Linked DNA regions of Rattus norvegicus. The protein of the gene in region 4 purifies or fractionates together with the protein of the main gene of each other region. This does not show direct contact. Links are inferred from orthologs where the notes say so. Each region holds a gene or a part of one and is shown on either strand. Other genes may lie near its edges.

What was found. Proteins that work in one complex are often made in the same cells at the same time.
Region 1: the proteins of Dis3l (region 4) and Exosc2 purify together in Homo sapiens (affinity purification with mass spectrometry; 5 studies listed by BioGRID and IntAct, with this or other methods). This does not show direct contact. The link is inferred for Rattus norvegicus from reciprocal best matches to the Homo sapiens genes DIS3L and EXOSC2.
Region 2: the proteins of Dis3l (region 4) and Exosc4 purify together in Homo sapiens (affinity purification with mass spectrometry; 5 studies listed by BioGRID and IntAct, with this or other methods). This does not show direct contact. The link is inferred for Rattus norvegicus from reciprocal best matches to the Homo sapiens genes DIS3L and EXOSC4.
Region 3: the proteins of Dis3l (region 4) and Exosc6 purify together in Homo sapiens (affinity purification with mass spectrometry; 3 studies listed by BioGRID and IntAct, with this or other methods). This does not show direct contact. The link is inferred for Rattus norvegicus from reciprocal best matches to the Homo sapiens genes DIS3L and EXOSC6.

The regions. Positions count from the first base shown.
Region 1 is NC_086021.1:35,359,259-35,363,465, reverse strand, and holds the start of Exosc2 (exosome complex component RRP4), read right to left. Parts: upstream 2,801-4,207; 5' UTR 2,781-2,800; coding exon 2,659-2,780; intron 1,426-2,658; coding exon 1,324-1,425; exon of another isoform or gene 1,312-1,323; intron 1-1,311. UniProt on the Homo sapiens protein: Non-catalytic component of the RNA exosome complex which has 3'->5' exoribonuclease activity and participates in a multitude of cellular RNA processing and degradation events.
Region 2 is NC_086025.1:109,927,293-109,931,290, forward strand, and holds Exosc4 (exosome complex component RRP41), read left to right. Parts: upstream 1-1,198; 5' UTR 1,199-1,236; coding exon 1,237-1,407; intron 1,408-2,944; coding exon 2,945-3,151; intron 3,152-3,251; coding exon 3,252-3,611; 3' UTR 3,612-3,941; downstream 3,942-3,998. UniProt on the Homo sapiens protein: Non-catalytic component of the RNA exosome complex which has 3'->5' exoribonuclease activity and participates in a multitude of cellular RNA processing and degradation events.
Region 3 is NC_086037.1:55,930,370-55,933,437, reverse strand, and holds Exosc6 (exosome complex component MTR3), read right to left. Parts: upstream 1,916-3,068; 5' UTR 1,884-1,915; coding exon 1,065-1,883; 3' UTR 501-1,064; downstream 1-500. UniProt on the Homo sapiens protein: Non-catalytic component of the RNA exosome complex which has 3'->5' exoribonuclease activity and participates in a multitude of cellular RNA processing and degradation events.
Region 4 is NC_086026.1:73,708,028-73,711,527, forward strand, and holds part of Dis3l (DIS3-like exonuclease 1), read right to left. Parts: intron 938-3,500; coding exon 690-937; intron 183-689; coding exon 90-182; intron 1-89. UniProt on the Homo sapiens protein: Catalytic component of the RNA exosome complex which has 3'->5' exoribonuclease activity and participates in a multitude of cellular RNA processing and degradation events.

The DNA of each region.
Region 1 (4,207 bases), on a different chromosome or scaffold from region 4:
CATGCTTAGGCAGAAACCTTGATGCCTGTCACACTCTGGGATAAGCACAGCACAGACCCTGCTGAAGGCACCTCCAAATGTGTGAGGGAAACAAAGACATCCAGACTGGAAACGGGGAACTAAAAATATCTCTATTCCTTCTGTTAGCTTTCCTTAAACACATCAGTTACTGCAACAGCCTTTCAAAGGACACTCTGAAAGCAAGGCATACAGAGGACATAGCCACTGCTGAGGGCCATGCCTGCCATCACTCGGTCATTTCTCAGATGAATACAGTTCCCCAGCCCAGCTCCCTAAACATGCCCTGTCCCCCTTCACTGTCTCCATGGCAACCACAGCAAGTGATGAAGACGTAGGTCAGATCACAGCTCTCTTGCTCTCTTCTGCTTGATCCCTTCCAAGGGCTTCCCAATTGGTACAGTACGAAGCCCAAGTCCTCACTGTCATTGCCAGGCAGGGTGACCACTTGGCTGCCACAGCTCCGGCTTGCCTGACTAATCAGTCCCAGGCTCATTGCTTCCCTTCTGGACGCACCTTTATGGGCTTCTTCTAGGTCCTGGGCCCTGTGTGTAAGTACTTTACTGTAGCAGGTCACTGAATTCCGAATGAACAATCCTGAGTTGGTTACTTTCTTTATGATGTGGAAAAGGAAAGCCCAACGCATGGAGGGATCAAGTGACGTGAGGAAACCTTTGAAGCTCACACCTTCTGTAGTGTCCTAGTTTGCTTTCTGTTGCTGTGATAAATACCACAACCAAAAGCAACTCGAGAAGGAAAGGGTTTATTAGGCCTACAGATTACACTCCATCACGGAGGAGTGCCAGGCAGGAACCTGGAGGCCAGAACTGAGGCAGAGTCTGTGGAGGAACACTACTGGCTGGTTTGCTTCCCAGACTCAGGTTTTTGTTCTCCCCCCCCCCCCACACACACACACAGAGCTGCCCTGGAACTCACAGAGAGCTGCCTGCCTCTGCCTCACAAGTACTAGGATAAAAGGCCTGCAGCACAGTGCCCATCCTTCCACACCCCAGGCCCACTGGTCCAGGGGTGACACTGCCTATATCAATTACCAATGAAGAAAATGCTCCCACAGACATGCCCACAAGCTAATCTGATGGAGACAATTCTTAGCTTTAGGTTTCCGCTCCCAAGGTAACTCCAGCTTTGTGTCAAGTTGGCTGCCGGCACTAACTGTGACAAACAGGCACATTCAACCTAGCAGGCGTGTGACAGGAATGATCCTAGATGACATGGGGAGACGACGGAGAAGGCCTGTGTACAACCCAGATGCTCCGAGAATGACATACACACCTCTGTCCTCACCTGGTTTTCAAGGCTTTGACACAGATCAGCTTGTTCACTCTCTCCACAGAGCCGGCCACTGACGCAATGAGCTTTTCCTCCCCCATGTATGTTCCATGGCCCCTGTGCAAGGACAAGACCACAAAGAAAGGATAGCAGTGTTACACTGGAGGTAACATGGGAGCATCTAGAACATGGTTCTTGAACCTAACAGGCTCCCCCTGCCTCCACAGAGCCATGTGGACATCCCCATCTTAAAAAGTGTGCTCGAGGGGCTGGGGATTTAGCTCAGTGGTAGAGCGCTTACCTAGGAAGCGCAAGGCCCTGGGTTCGGTCCCCAGCTCCGAAAAAAAAGAACAAAGAAAAAAAAAAAAAAAAGTGTGCTCGAATGTCACTTTCCAACAACAGAACTGCACATCCCAGGCAACACAGGGATCCCCACTGGTCCACCCCATTGCCAACTACACCCCTCTTCTCCCCCTTCGTCTGCATTTACGACGTTCTTGTGGCATTTACTGTTATTGTTCCTTGCTAGATGATAAACCCCGCCTTTGGTACCCCAACCACAGGGACTATGTTGAACTTATGCTGCAAGTATGAAGAAATGAATCCTAAGATACCTGTCATCTAATACTTTAAACATAAAGTCTAGAGGCAATGCTATAAACACCATAATCTCATTTGTACCAGAAAGAAAAAACAACCAGGTTTTTTCAGGCCACTGCTGAAATTTTGCTTCCTGCCCCCACTTTTCAGTTGCTTAATACTCCCGATTCTACCAATTCCTGTTGTCACCACCGTCTTCCAGGTGAGGGTACCGGCCTTAGCTAGGTGCTACAGCTAAGGAGAGCACGACTCCAGAGCAGGCCCAAAGTACCACAAGTTCCGATAGCCTGCTAAGTTTGTATTATTGGGTGCATCTATGCACAGTATGTACTGAATGCTTACCTCAACCCCCACCCCACGAAAATCACTGCTTCAAAGTCAGGCTCGTCGCTGAGGTAACACTGAAAGAAACGACCAAGCCAGCAACCCACTGTCTCTTCAGAGGGTTGTAAGAAGGGTCCTGCTCCCAGCCCTCCCCAGGAAAGCTCAAAAATCTTGAGTTTCAGGATAAGGGTTCAAAAGTTCCTGACACCATAGATTAAAGGAGAAATCAGGAACTGACAGAGGAGCACCCAAGATGCAGGAAGTCAGAAGCATGAGGCTCGGAAAGGAGGATGCTCTGAGGTGTCCCAGGTATTCGGTGACTTAGATACAAGGGGACAGGAGGCCTGGGTTCCCGGGCAGCGGGCCACGTGCAGAGAGCTCTGCAGCCGTCTCCTGAGGCCTTGGGACCCCCAAATCCTCACGTACCGCATGAAGCCTGTATCCGTGGTGATCGTGTCCCCTGGCACTACCAAATGTTTTTTAGAATCGCGGCCCAAGCTCTCACTGAGAGGTTTGCGAGCCCTAGGGAGCCTCATCTCCAACGCCATCTTGGCGCCAATGACTTGCGCAGGCGCAGCTCCACACAGTCGCCTCAATTCCCGCCCACCTTCAGAGAAGCGACCAATGGAATGTATAGTGTGGCGGCCATGTTGACTATTGGCAACTATTAAGTTAACTCGAAGAAAAGAGGGTACCAAGCTGCCATGTTTACTATTGGCAAGAAAGCACCCGCGGAAAGACGTTGTAAGGGAATATGACTTGTAAGGGAATTGGTTTGGTTTGGCGTTTGTATTTGAGAAAAGGTCCCGTGTATGGCTGGACACAAACTGTACAGTTGAGAATAACCCTGCTGAACTCCAGAGATTCATGCCTCCACCTCCCAAACGCTCCGATTACATGAGTTTGAGTAGGTTGTGGTTTTGGTGGTGGTGCGAATGGTGCTTTTCGCATCTGATTGGTTTGTTGTTTTATGTGTATAAGCGTTTTTCCTGCGTTTGTCTCCGTACACTCCAGTGTCTGATGCCCACAGAGGCCAAAAGAGGTTGTTGGAGCACCTGGAACTGGAATTACAGATGTTTGTGATCCGCCATGTGGGTGCTGGGAATCGAAACCAAGTCCTCTGGAAATGCAGCCAGTGCTCTCCACCTCTGAACCCAGCCCAGGTGTAAAATTTTTTTTTTTTTAAGTTTTTTTTTTCTTTTTTCTTTTTTTTCGGAGCTGGGGACCGAACCCAGGGCCTTGTGCTTGCTAGGCAAGCGCTCTACCACTGAGCTAAATCCCCAGCCCCGTGTAAAATTTTTTAAAGATAGTGTCTCATGTCATCCAGGTTGGTCTCAAACTGGCTGTGTAACCCAGGATGCCCTTGAACTCCTCTTCCTCTATCTCCCAAGAGCTGGGATTACAGGCGTAAACCGCCATGCTCAGTTGTATGAGTTTTTACCCAAACTATCCAATTTCATCATTTTATTTATTGTTGGTCAAGTCTAGAGATTGAGAAGTGAACCTTGAGTTTGCCATCCAACTCTAAACCACTATCTGAGCAGAAGATAGTGAATACTGTTCCTAGGGGGCCTTGTATTCTACAGTGGAGTTGACCCTTAGGTGCTGGTCTGGATCCTCACCTAGTGCTCCTATGGCTTTAGTGTGCTTTAGTAAAGACCTCTTCTGAAAGACGACTGTTGTAAAAGCCAGCCACAGGTGACGAGCAAATCCGTAGTGAGATACAAATGTAACTTTTATTCTCCTGTTGCAGTTGTTGCCTTTGTCTGCTATCCTAGGTCTAGTTCTGGAAGTTTCTAGCCTCTGTACGATCTTATCTAGGTCTAGACTGTTTTCAGCCTCTCTCTCTCTGAATTACTGCTGAATAAACTCACCCCTTCCCAATTCTTTCAGATCTCTGGCTGGCTGGTTCAACTCAGCTGTTTTGGCTCAAACACCTTTCCCAGCTGACTTATAAGATCTGTCTTTTCTCTCG
Region 2 (3,998 bases), on a different chromosome or scaffold from region 4:
ATCTGCTCCTACAATACACAGGGTTGTTAAAGAGGACTCAGTGGGACTATAATCTGCTCTATCTACCCCACAGGTATGAAGCAAACAATAAAAATATACCTCCAAGCTAGGTGTCACGGTCCCACCTATAATCATTATAAGAGCACTAGGGAGGCTCTGGTAGGAAGATTGCTAGTTTGAGGCCAACCTGAAATACATATCAAGATTTTCAAAAAGCAACAGCAACCAGGTGATATCGCACATGCCTCAGATCCCAGCACTCTGGGCAGAGATAGGCAGATCTGTGATCTCAAGGCCAGCATGGTTTACAGAAGGAGTTCCAGGACAACAAAGGCTACAAAAAGAAACCCTGTCTCCAAAAACAAGCAAACCAAACAACAGCAAAAAAGGGCCCATCACCAACAAACACAACAAAATCTCAGGACTATGTATTTCATATTCTGAGTGAAAACACTCCCAAATGTATACTAAGTGACCGAATCTTTAAAAATAATCAGAACTCCAAAACCTACTATACAGGTGCATATAGACAACCGCAGGCGCTTTGTGCTTGCATCCAGGCTATAGAGAAAACTTACTGGCCAAGGTAAGGGAGGGAAACTTATGGATTTAACCAAGCAAATGAAAAAGAAAAAAGAAAAACTAAACTAATACTGAGCCACAAAGATAATAATCACGTGTATGTGGAACAAAAAATTGTGCTTGGCTAAACTGACCACTGTAAAAACCACACGGACGAAAGACGAAAAAAAGAGAAGGACCAGATTCCAGCACTCACAGTGGCTGCCCCCTTCTAACCTCCGCAGCACTGAGCACACACGTGACGAAAAGACATACAAGCAGGTATGCTTGTTCAATACATTCGTACAATAAAAATAGATATACAGTTTTTTAAAGGGCCAAAAAAAAATAGTCTCCGCTGGGACCAGCGCCTCCGACAAACCGAGGACGTCCGGAAAGAGAAGTTTGTCTTCAAGGCGTACCTACTTCAACAACCGAGGAGAAGCTGCAAAAACCAGCTCGGCTCGGGCCTTTGATTTCCCGGAACCGAACGACGTGACTCGTACATTCAGCAGGCCGGGGAAGCTACGAGCCTTGCACCGGAAAGGGACTAGTTTACCGGAAGTTATAGCTCTCCGAGACTGAAAAGGAAACGGACCGGCGGAAGTCGTAGTCGCGGAAGCCCAGGTCATCTAAGGGGTCGTGCTCTCGGAGGCGGAGCGAGGACTGCGCAACATGGCCGGGCTGGAGCTCCTGTCCGATCAGGGTTACCGGATAGACGGTCGCCGCGCGGGGGAGCTGCGCAAGATTCAGGCGCGGATGGGCGTGTTTGCGCAGGCCGATGGCTCGGCTTATATCGAGCAGGGCAACACCAAGGCACTGGCGGTGGTCTACGGGCCTCACGAGGCGAGTAAGCGGCAGGGATTGGGGGCTCGTGGCCGCACGACGAGGAAGTAGACCTTACAGCTTAACTCCTCTACCTATGCAGCAGTATACTAAAATCCCATCTTTGAATTTCTGGGGTCCTCCCTGGCAGAAAGCATCTCAACACACGTTGTCCCACCGTGTTGTAGGGGAAATGATGTGCGTGCATCTGCGAGGACCTGGCTTCTTCTGATTTCACCTCACGAGCTCTTTCCCTTGGTTAACTTCCATTTCAATCCTTCCTTTGTGTTACATCCACTAAGCCATGAATATAATTATACCCCGAGTTCTGAGTCCTCTCGGGGAATTGCATCCCTAACATGGCCCTCAAATTTGTATAAGTATTAGGTCCCATGATGAACTGAGAATATTGGTTTCTTTAAGAACCCAGTTATGTTATGTGATTATGTTTTTGTTTTAATCCCACGGGTGGGATATGGGGCTGCTTCAGATTGTCCACAACTACTATGATTGTCTCATGCAGGGACTGGGGGCTCATGGCTGCACATCGTGGGAGTGGACATGAGTCTTACTGCTTAACTCCTCCGTCTCAGTGGGCCTCTTTTCTCCTGGGCTGCCCTCTTCATCTCTGAGGTGCCTCATACATCCTGGCAAAGCTACACTCAGTCCCTGTTCTTTCAGTCCAGTGTTTTGACATCTTGTCCGGAAAAGGCCTCCCAGGCTATTTCTGCCCCTGCTACATCGATTTTCCTCAGTCTTCCATGTCTCTTGTCTCTCTACTGGAATGTAAACTCCCAAGACAGAGACATTATAAATTGCCTGCCTTTGCTGCTTTGTCTCAGTGGTGTAGCAAGGCCGGCAAACATGCACATTTTAAGGGTTTTTTTGTTTGTTTGTTATTTGTTTATTATATATAAGTACACTGTCACTGTCTTTTAGACACACCAGAATGGCATCAGATCCCATTACAGATGGTTGTGAGCCACCATGTGGTCGCTGGGATTTGAACTCAGGACCTCTGGAAGAGCAGTCAGTGCTCTTAACCAATGAGCCCACATTTTAAGGTTTGCTAGCAATTTGCTCAGCTTTCTAGGTGGAAGCCAGGTCAGGTCTAGAACACATTAGGCCAGACTACTGGTAGACCGAGGGACAGTAGATCAAATAAAGTTGAGTGGTTAACCAAGGAGATGAGGACCCAGGGCTTTGAAGGTCGGGGAAATTGAGATTTTCTTTTACATGTAATGAGAAGCTTCTGGAAGGTAAGTAAAATATTAGTGTGTGGGTGACACAGTCAAATCACATGTTTGTAAACATGGTGACCACGATGGGAATGATTTAGGAAGAAATGGAGCAACTAAAGAACAAAGGGGTTTTTTTTGCGGAAGGTGACAGTGGTGCGGCTTAGACCGAAGTGTAGCCCTAAACCGCCTGCCATGGTTTGGAACCAAAGTAGCTGCTGCTTTCTGAAGCACTTTAGAAAGAAGAGGAGGAAGGCTGAGCCATCGAGTGTGACCCAGGAGGTAGGCGGCCCTGGCTCATTCCTTCTTTTTTCCTCCAGATCCGGGGCTCCCGGTCACGGGCTCTGCCTGACCGGGCTCTAGTGAACTGTCAGTACAGTTCAGCAACCTTCAGCACAGGTGAGCGCAAGCGAAGGCCTCATGGAGACCGGAAGTCTTGTGAGATGGGGCTGCAGCTACGCCAGACCTTCGAGGCAGCTATCCTCACACAGCTGCACCCACGTTCTCAGATAGACATTTATGTGCAGGTGAGCCTCAAACCACTCCCCCGGGGGCGGGGCTTAAGGGGATGAGGTCTGCCTGAGATGCTGGAGGATGAGATGTCTGATGTCCTGATGCCCCCTGCAGGTGCTACAAGCAGACGGTGGGACCTATGCAGCATGTGTGAATGCAGCCACGCTAGCAGTGATGGATGCTGGGATACCCATGCGGGACTTTGTGTGTGCATGTTCGGCTGGTTTTGTGGATGGCACAGCACTAGCGGACCTCAGTCACGTGGAGGAAGCAGCTGGCGGGCCCCAGCTAGCCCTGGCCCTGCTGCCAGCCTCTGGCCAGATTGCACTGCTTGAGATGGATTCGAGGTTGCATGAAGACCACTTGGAGCAGGTGCTCGAGGCTGCTGCCCAGGCAGCCCGGGATGTGCACACTCTGCTGGATCGTGTTGTCCGGCAGCATGTGCAGGAGGCCTCTATCTTACTGGGGGACTGAGGCCAACCCCCCATATCCAGAATAAAGGCCTGTTCCTCTCCTGAACACACTGTAATGTACAGCACTTCAAAGCAGCTCAGGGCCCTACATAGCAGTTTGTACTGCAGTCCCTAAGTGGAGAGAACACTTGTGCTAGGAAGAGCAAGAGTGCTCATGCTGTGCCTGCCCAGATATCAGGGTCCACAAAGACCACCAGGGGTCTGGATTTGTATGCAAAAGCAAAGCCTTTATTCACACTTAAGCTTGGACCCTCAGAATCCTCCAAGCATCAGATTTGTGCTGAGACCTTGAACCTCATTTAGGCAAGGTTTTTATACTAGTTTGAGCAGGGAACGGGGGTCTCCAGCATAGCGATTGCCTTACTTAGCAAGGGTTGAGCAGGGAGGG
Region 3 (3,068 bases), on a different chromosome or scaffold from region 4:
TCCTCCACTTCAGCCTGTGAAGAACAGGATAAGTCCCTATACTGGTCAGTCAGGCCTGCTCTGCCTTAATAGCCAGGCTGTAAATGATACCACAGTATTAGGCGGTCTGCATTTTAGTAGACCATTGCTGCCCAGACCCTTGTTCCCAGGAGCCAAGCCTGGACAGGCACCAGGATGGGACCCGGCTTCTTTCCAGAGCATAATCCTTTTCAGTTACCTAACTCCTAGACATGGTTTTGTCCTAAAGGAAAGGACAGGGGTGCATCCAGGCTTCTCCTTTGAACTCTCCCCAGACTTTTCCAGACGGGAGTTTCTCTGTGTAGCTCTGGCTGTCCTGAAATCTGCTCAGTCTTATCCCCTCGGCAGCTGCCCTAGACAATGCTCCCGGGGCAGCTGGTTTCTCCTCCAAAGCACATAACCCTTTCTTTCTTACAGCGGGCTAACAGGAATACTTAAGGCAGTAATGACTTGGACCCTTGACAACACACAATCAACACACACCCATTTCTGAACAGCATTGTTTTTAACTCAAGAAAAATCACAACACATGTTATTTCCAGGCATAAAAATGTTTTTATGTTTTACTTCGAGTAGTGAGAAGGCAAAGTCCCCTTGTCCATCCTCTCAAAAGAAAAGAATTGGGGTTGGGGATTTAGCTCAGTGGTAGAGTGCTTGCCTAGCAAGCGCAAGGCCCTGGGTTCGGTCCCCAACTCAGAAAAAAAAAAAAAAAAAAAAAAAAGAATTATATTGGAGCTGCCGGCTGGCCTGCACAGGGTCCATCCCTTACAAGGCCATAGCCCCAGGTCTCATTTACTAAGTAAATCCAGCCCAAGTCCTTTCCAACTTAGGAATATGGCTGCTTTCAAATTTCTCCAACTGGATCGTGTTTCCAACGGCCTTTTAAACTTCTTTCCAACGCAGCTGTGCAGAGCTTTGGTTCTGTGCGCACCACTCCCCCACTCTCCTGTCTCAGCTCAGCGAAATCGGGCAACCATCAGCGCTGGTCCTTTTGGGAGAAAAGGGCGATAGCAGTCCTCCGCATCCTCGTCGCTCAAGTTTTCCAATCAGGGCGGGGCGGCGGCACCCCTCCGGCGGGCAGCCCTCACCAAGCACTGCTGCAACACCGGGTAGAGGCGCTGGCAGCCTTCCAGGCCCAGGCGCACCGCATCGGTCCAACTCTCAGTCTGGCCGCCTTCCCCACTGCCCAATAACCCGGCCACCTGATTGAGCACGGGCATGAGCGCCACCGTGAGGCCGGCCTCAGAATGCTCCTCCTCCAGTCGCGTGGGGTCCAGCAGCCAAGTCGGGGAGGGCCCCGGTGTGAGGCTCAAGCCGCAGCCCACTACCAGATCGTACATCTCCACTCCCGCGTCGGCCAGGGCGAGCGCAGCAGCGGTGAGGGCCGCGGCCAGCGCAGAGCCGCCGTCCTCCAGCAGCAGCGCGGACACCTCGAGTTGAGCACGAGGGTAGCGTCCTAAGCGCACAGCGGGCTCCAGAGCCTCCTGCAGAGCCAGACCCAGCTCACGATCCTCGCTGCTGCCCTGGGGCGCGCGACGCCGGCGACCGGAGAAGGGCGCGCGACGGAAATCGCAGAGCAAGCGACCCCGGAGAGCAGCCGGAGCTTCACCGCCCGCTCCGGCGGGACCGCCGCCGCGCTCACCGCCCTCGGCCTGCCGCGGACCGGACACGGCGCACAGCACCTTGGTACCTCCCGCTTCCAGGTAGGCTGAGCCCTTAGCCTGGCTCAGCAGCCCTGCGCGGGCGTACACCGGTCGTAGGCGCGTCGGGTCGCGAGCAGCGGGCGTCTCGTCTTCTTCGGCCGCGTACAGCTGCGGCGGCTGGGACTCCTCTGGCCCTCGGATGCGGCGGTGGTCTCCCGGCATGGCGGCTACCGGCGTACGAGCTACTTCCGCCTGCCAGGATGCCTTGCGCACCGGCTCTTCCGCTCGCTTAAAGATACGCGCCCGCGCGGAGCCTATCGGGAGAGCGGTAGGTTTCCGCATTGCCACCTAGCGGAATGGAGGAAGAACGGCGAGGTATTGGCTGGACCTGTGGTTCCATAGGACCTGATCTACTGTCATTCCTTGAATTTTGCATTCAGATTGTTTTATATAAGCTTGCCCTAGGTAAGAACTTTTTGTTCGGGCTGAAGAGATGGCTCAGCGGTTAAGAGCACTGACTGCTCTTCCAGAGGTCCTGAGTTCAATTCAGCAACCACATGGTGGCTCACAACCATCTGTAATGAGATCTGATGCCCTCTTCTGTGTGTCTGAGTACAGGATACTCATGTACATGAAATAAATAAATTAATTAAAAAAAAAAAAGAACTTTTTGTTCATTCCTGTAGTTAGTCCCCTGGCTTGCTTCAACACTTGTTTAATAAATGGACGTTATCTCTCTTCCTACAACTGAATAATAATTCTAACACTCTGAGATCTGTCATAAGCAAGCAGTATCTCAGCTTCCAGACCCTGCTGTTTGTAGATTCATATAAATTGCATTTTAGGGCCGAGCCAGGGTCTTGAACCTATTTCAGGTTAAAGAAGCAGGGATGGGGCAGTTACTAGAAGACATCTCTACATTCATACCTCCTACATTAGTTGTCTGACCTCATATCAGCAGCTTCAAGGGGAGGCACGTTGAACACACATGATGAAAGCCATTATGAGGTTGTCCCAAGAGACTAAGAATGGTGCTTCTTCATGTGAAGCAATTCAGAAGAATTTTCCTCCACCCCTTTTACTGAATGCCTCAATTTCAGCCCACCCATTCTGCCTCTAGCTCTGCTCTCCCAGGGGCCGTTCCTCAAGTTCAGGAGTCTGAGGCTGTACTCTGTGATAACATCAATCAGAAACCAGCCAGAACCACACACAGCCTGTATTCTGCATGTATAGGGAGCTGAGGTCAACCTCAGGAGAAAGGAGAGCGTGGTATCATCTAGTATTGCACATGGTCCTTTATTTTCTGCAGTGGAAGGCTTCCTTCCCACTTGCAGACCTAGAAGCCTCAGGTTGGCAGAGTGACCTCATCTAGACGTGATCAGGATGTTAGGTAGCATTCCTGGGTAG
Region 4 (3,500 bases):
GGGAGGGCGCTCCCAAGGCAGTGGGCAGGGTGTGGGTGGAGGGAGAGCACACTGAAGGCAGACAGCTCTGAAGGTGAAATCAGACTCACCGGTCAACGCCTCCCAGGAGGGAGCAGAGGTCTGCGCTGAGGATGGAAGGCAGCATGTCGTAGCGGCGGTCGGCTAGGTAGTAAGTGGTGGCCCTGGAATGACACATGACGTAACTGACCTTCAGCAGCCAGAGGAACTGCTGACAGCGTGGGCTGTAGGAGGTAAACAGCTGAGAGCACAGTTGGGCTCCCCTGGGGCTACTGCTCTTCATAAAGCAGAGCCTCTGCGTAATGAAATGGCTCCCGTGTGCCCACTTGACCAAGTCACACTGCTTTGGCTGAATATTCCTCCACTGATGTAGAAAGTAAAAGTGACATGAATCTTGGTTGTATGAGAAAAACGGTAGCATAATGATCTAGATCTATACAAAATACTGTATTACATGTGAAAATTTACTCATTTTAACTTTGGAGGAAACAAACGATGGGTAAAAGGTTAAGAAAGGACGCAAACTAATCAAGGTACTATTTTCCTGAAGGTGGGGACTTCAGGAAAGCCCAGAAGAGATTTTCAGAGCTGCACAAATGAGAGATTGGGAGCATCTGAAACTAACAGGGATACAAACTCTCAGCGCCAATACTGCCTTCCAATAGGGTTACCTCGTTCTAGCTTCAACATCGATGTAAGAGTTGGGGGCCACAAAGTGGGTGACATCAGCTATGTGGACCCCGAGCTCCAGGTTGCCGTTATTCAAGGTTCTGACTGAGAGCGCGTCATCCACGTCCTCACAACCTTTAGGGTCGATGCTGAACACAAGGTGGGTGCTCCTCAGGTCCCTCCGCTCCTGCTCTTCTTTGGGACTCACTTTCCAAGGGTTTTCTGCTGTGTTCACTGGCATCTCACACATCTGCATCGCAGACAAATATTCAGAAACACACAAGGTTCTGTAAAAACCCATTCTCTTCAGAGGGGCTGGAGAGATGGCTCAGTGGTTAAGAGCAATGACTACTCTTCCAGAGGACCCAGGTTCAATTTTCAACAGCCACATGGTGGCCCAAAACTGTCTGTAACCCTAGTCCCTGGGGTTCCTATATCTTCTTCTGGCCTCTTCAGACAGCAGGCATTCATGAAGACACCATCTATCTTGTTTCTAAGACAGAGTCGTTGTACACTAGCCTGGAATGTTCCAGTGATGCCAGATTGGATGGTCATCAAACCCTTAGTTTCTCTTTCTGTCTCCTTTCCCAGAATTAGGACTATTACGAGTGTGTGTCACTGTTCCCAGATTTGTAAGTGGGTTCTGGTTGGAACTCAGATCCTCGTGATTGCATAGTAGGTGCTTTACTAAGTATCTTCCCTGCCTCATTTGCCTTCCTTGATTGGTAAGTGTTCATTAGGTGCCTCGCAGGTGTCAGACACTGGGCTGGGCTCTGGGAAGTCAGGAGTCAGCAGTCTGCTAGGTGATATCCTGTGACTTCTGACAGCCCCGTCAGCTGGGGGCCAGAGCAAGAAGGAACAGGTAAAACTGATGCACTGCATCCTGTTTCCATGTGAGCTGAGAGTTGAGCTTTTAACTCAAGTCAAGCCCTGGGGAGAAAAAAAATCTACACAATCCCCCCAAATAAACGTTATTTCTTAAAGATAATTTAAACAAGACTAATCTGGGACATTTTCCCTCTATGATTGCCTATTTAAACTATCAATCTGAAGCTAAGTAGGCTACAGGGGAGAGAACTGTAGGCCTGGGAAGTCTAGTTCCCACCTCACTGTAGTCTAACATTTTCACTAAGACGTGCTAAGCACGCCAACAAATAATTTTCAGAAACTAATGTTAAACATAAAAATTTAATTATGTAAAATATTCTAAATTTAATAATGTAAAATAGTTTACAATCTTTTCTTATTGTGACTCCTGTTCTGTCAGAAGCTATAATGAAAATAGGAACACCCAAGCGCTCTTAATGGTAATTCACATTGGGCAGCATATTTCTGGAAAACTATCTGCCAATACAGAACAAACCTATTTAAATTTTTTATGCCCTTTGGCTTGGTAATTTAACTTTAAGGGTGACATTCCAAGTGGATGATCAAAAAGAATAAAAAAAGCAACATTGATTAAAAAAAATGTTTCAAGTAACATTTTTTCTTAATACTGAAAAATTAAACACTACTAATGTCCAAAAACTGAGAAATGTTTAAGCAAACTAGGGTGGATTAATTTCAGTAATTTGTCTTAACTACTAAATCTAAGTAGGCTATGTCAATACATAGAAGCCATTTTAAGTGGAAAGGGCGAATGGGACGTAAGTGCACACGACGGCTACGACCCCGAGAGAGCAATAAAGGAGATTTACGGGGCTGAGAGCGACCTCCGTGATGGAGTCACTGGTGTTTTATGTTCACTGAACTGTGTTCTCTGTAAAGGTTCAGAGACCATCTCATGATGAGCCTGACTTTTTGACCCACCCATCTCTAGTTGGGGCAGAGCTTGGCTGGGTCTGTAGAGAAGACATGCAGGATGGGTGTGATGGTGCACGCCTTCAATCCCGCAGAGGCAAGCGGATCTCTGTGACTTCCAGACCAGCCAGGGCTACATAACAATATAAAACATTGAGGAAGGAGAAGGGGGAGGAGGAGGAAGAAGAGGAAGAGGAGGAGGGGGAGGAGGAGGATATGGAGGAGGGGGAGGAGGGAGAGGAAGAGGAGGAGGAGGAGGGGGAGGAAGAGGAAGAGGAAGAGGAGGAGGAAGAGGAGGGGGGAGGAAGAGGAGGAAGGGGGAGGAGGAGGGGGAGGAGGAAGAGGGGAGGAGGAGGGGGGGAGGAGGGAGAGGAAGAGGAGGAGGAGGAGGAAGAGGAGGGGGGAAAGGGGGAAGAGGAAGAGGGGAGGAGGAAGAGGGAAGGGCTGATAATGGATGCCTAGGGCTAGGCGTGGGAACTGACTTCAAGCCCATGACATGTCATTTTAAGCACAGCTGGAAAATATAAAAATTTGGGAGCTGTGAGGCTGTAAGAAGCTCAAGTCTATACTTGGAATTGATTTTAATTTAGTCGGTGCGTTGGTGCACAGTATGTCATCTTTTCAGGGATGGGGAGAAACCTCAGTGAATACAGGTTCCCTACACAAAGGAGGACCCCGTTTGCTCCCACATGAAAAGCTGGGAGCATGGGACACCTGTAATCCCCGGGCTGAGGAGTGAATCTGGAGGATCTGTGACGTTGCCCCCAGCCTTACTGATTTAGTGAGTTGTACATTCAATGAGAGATTCTGTCTCAAAACATGAGGTGGAGCGGCTGGAGAGATAGCTCAGCAGTTAAGGGCATTCAATTTCCTGAGGACCCAAGTTTGATTTCCAGCACCCATGTGAGCTTACAACGGCCAGATCCAGGGGATCCAACATCCTGTTCTGGCTACCCATGTGGATATGCACACATAGACATATACATACATACAAAAATAAAAATAAGTAAGGT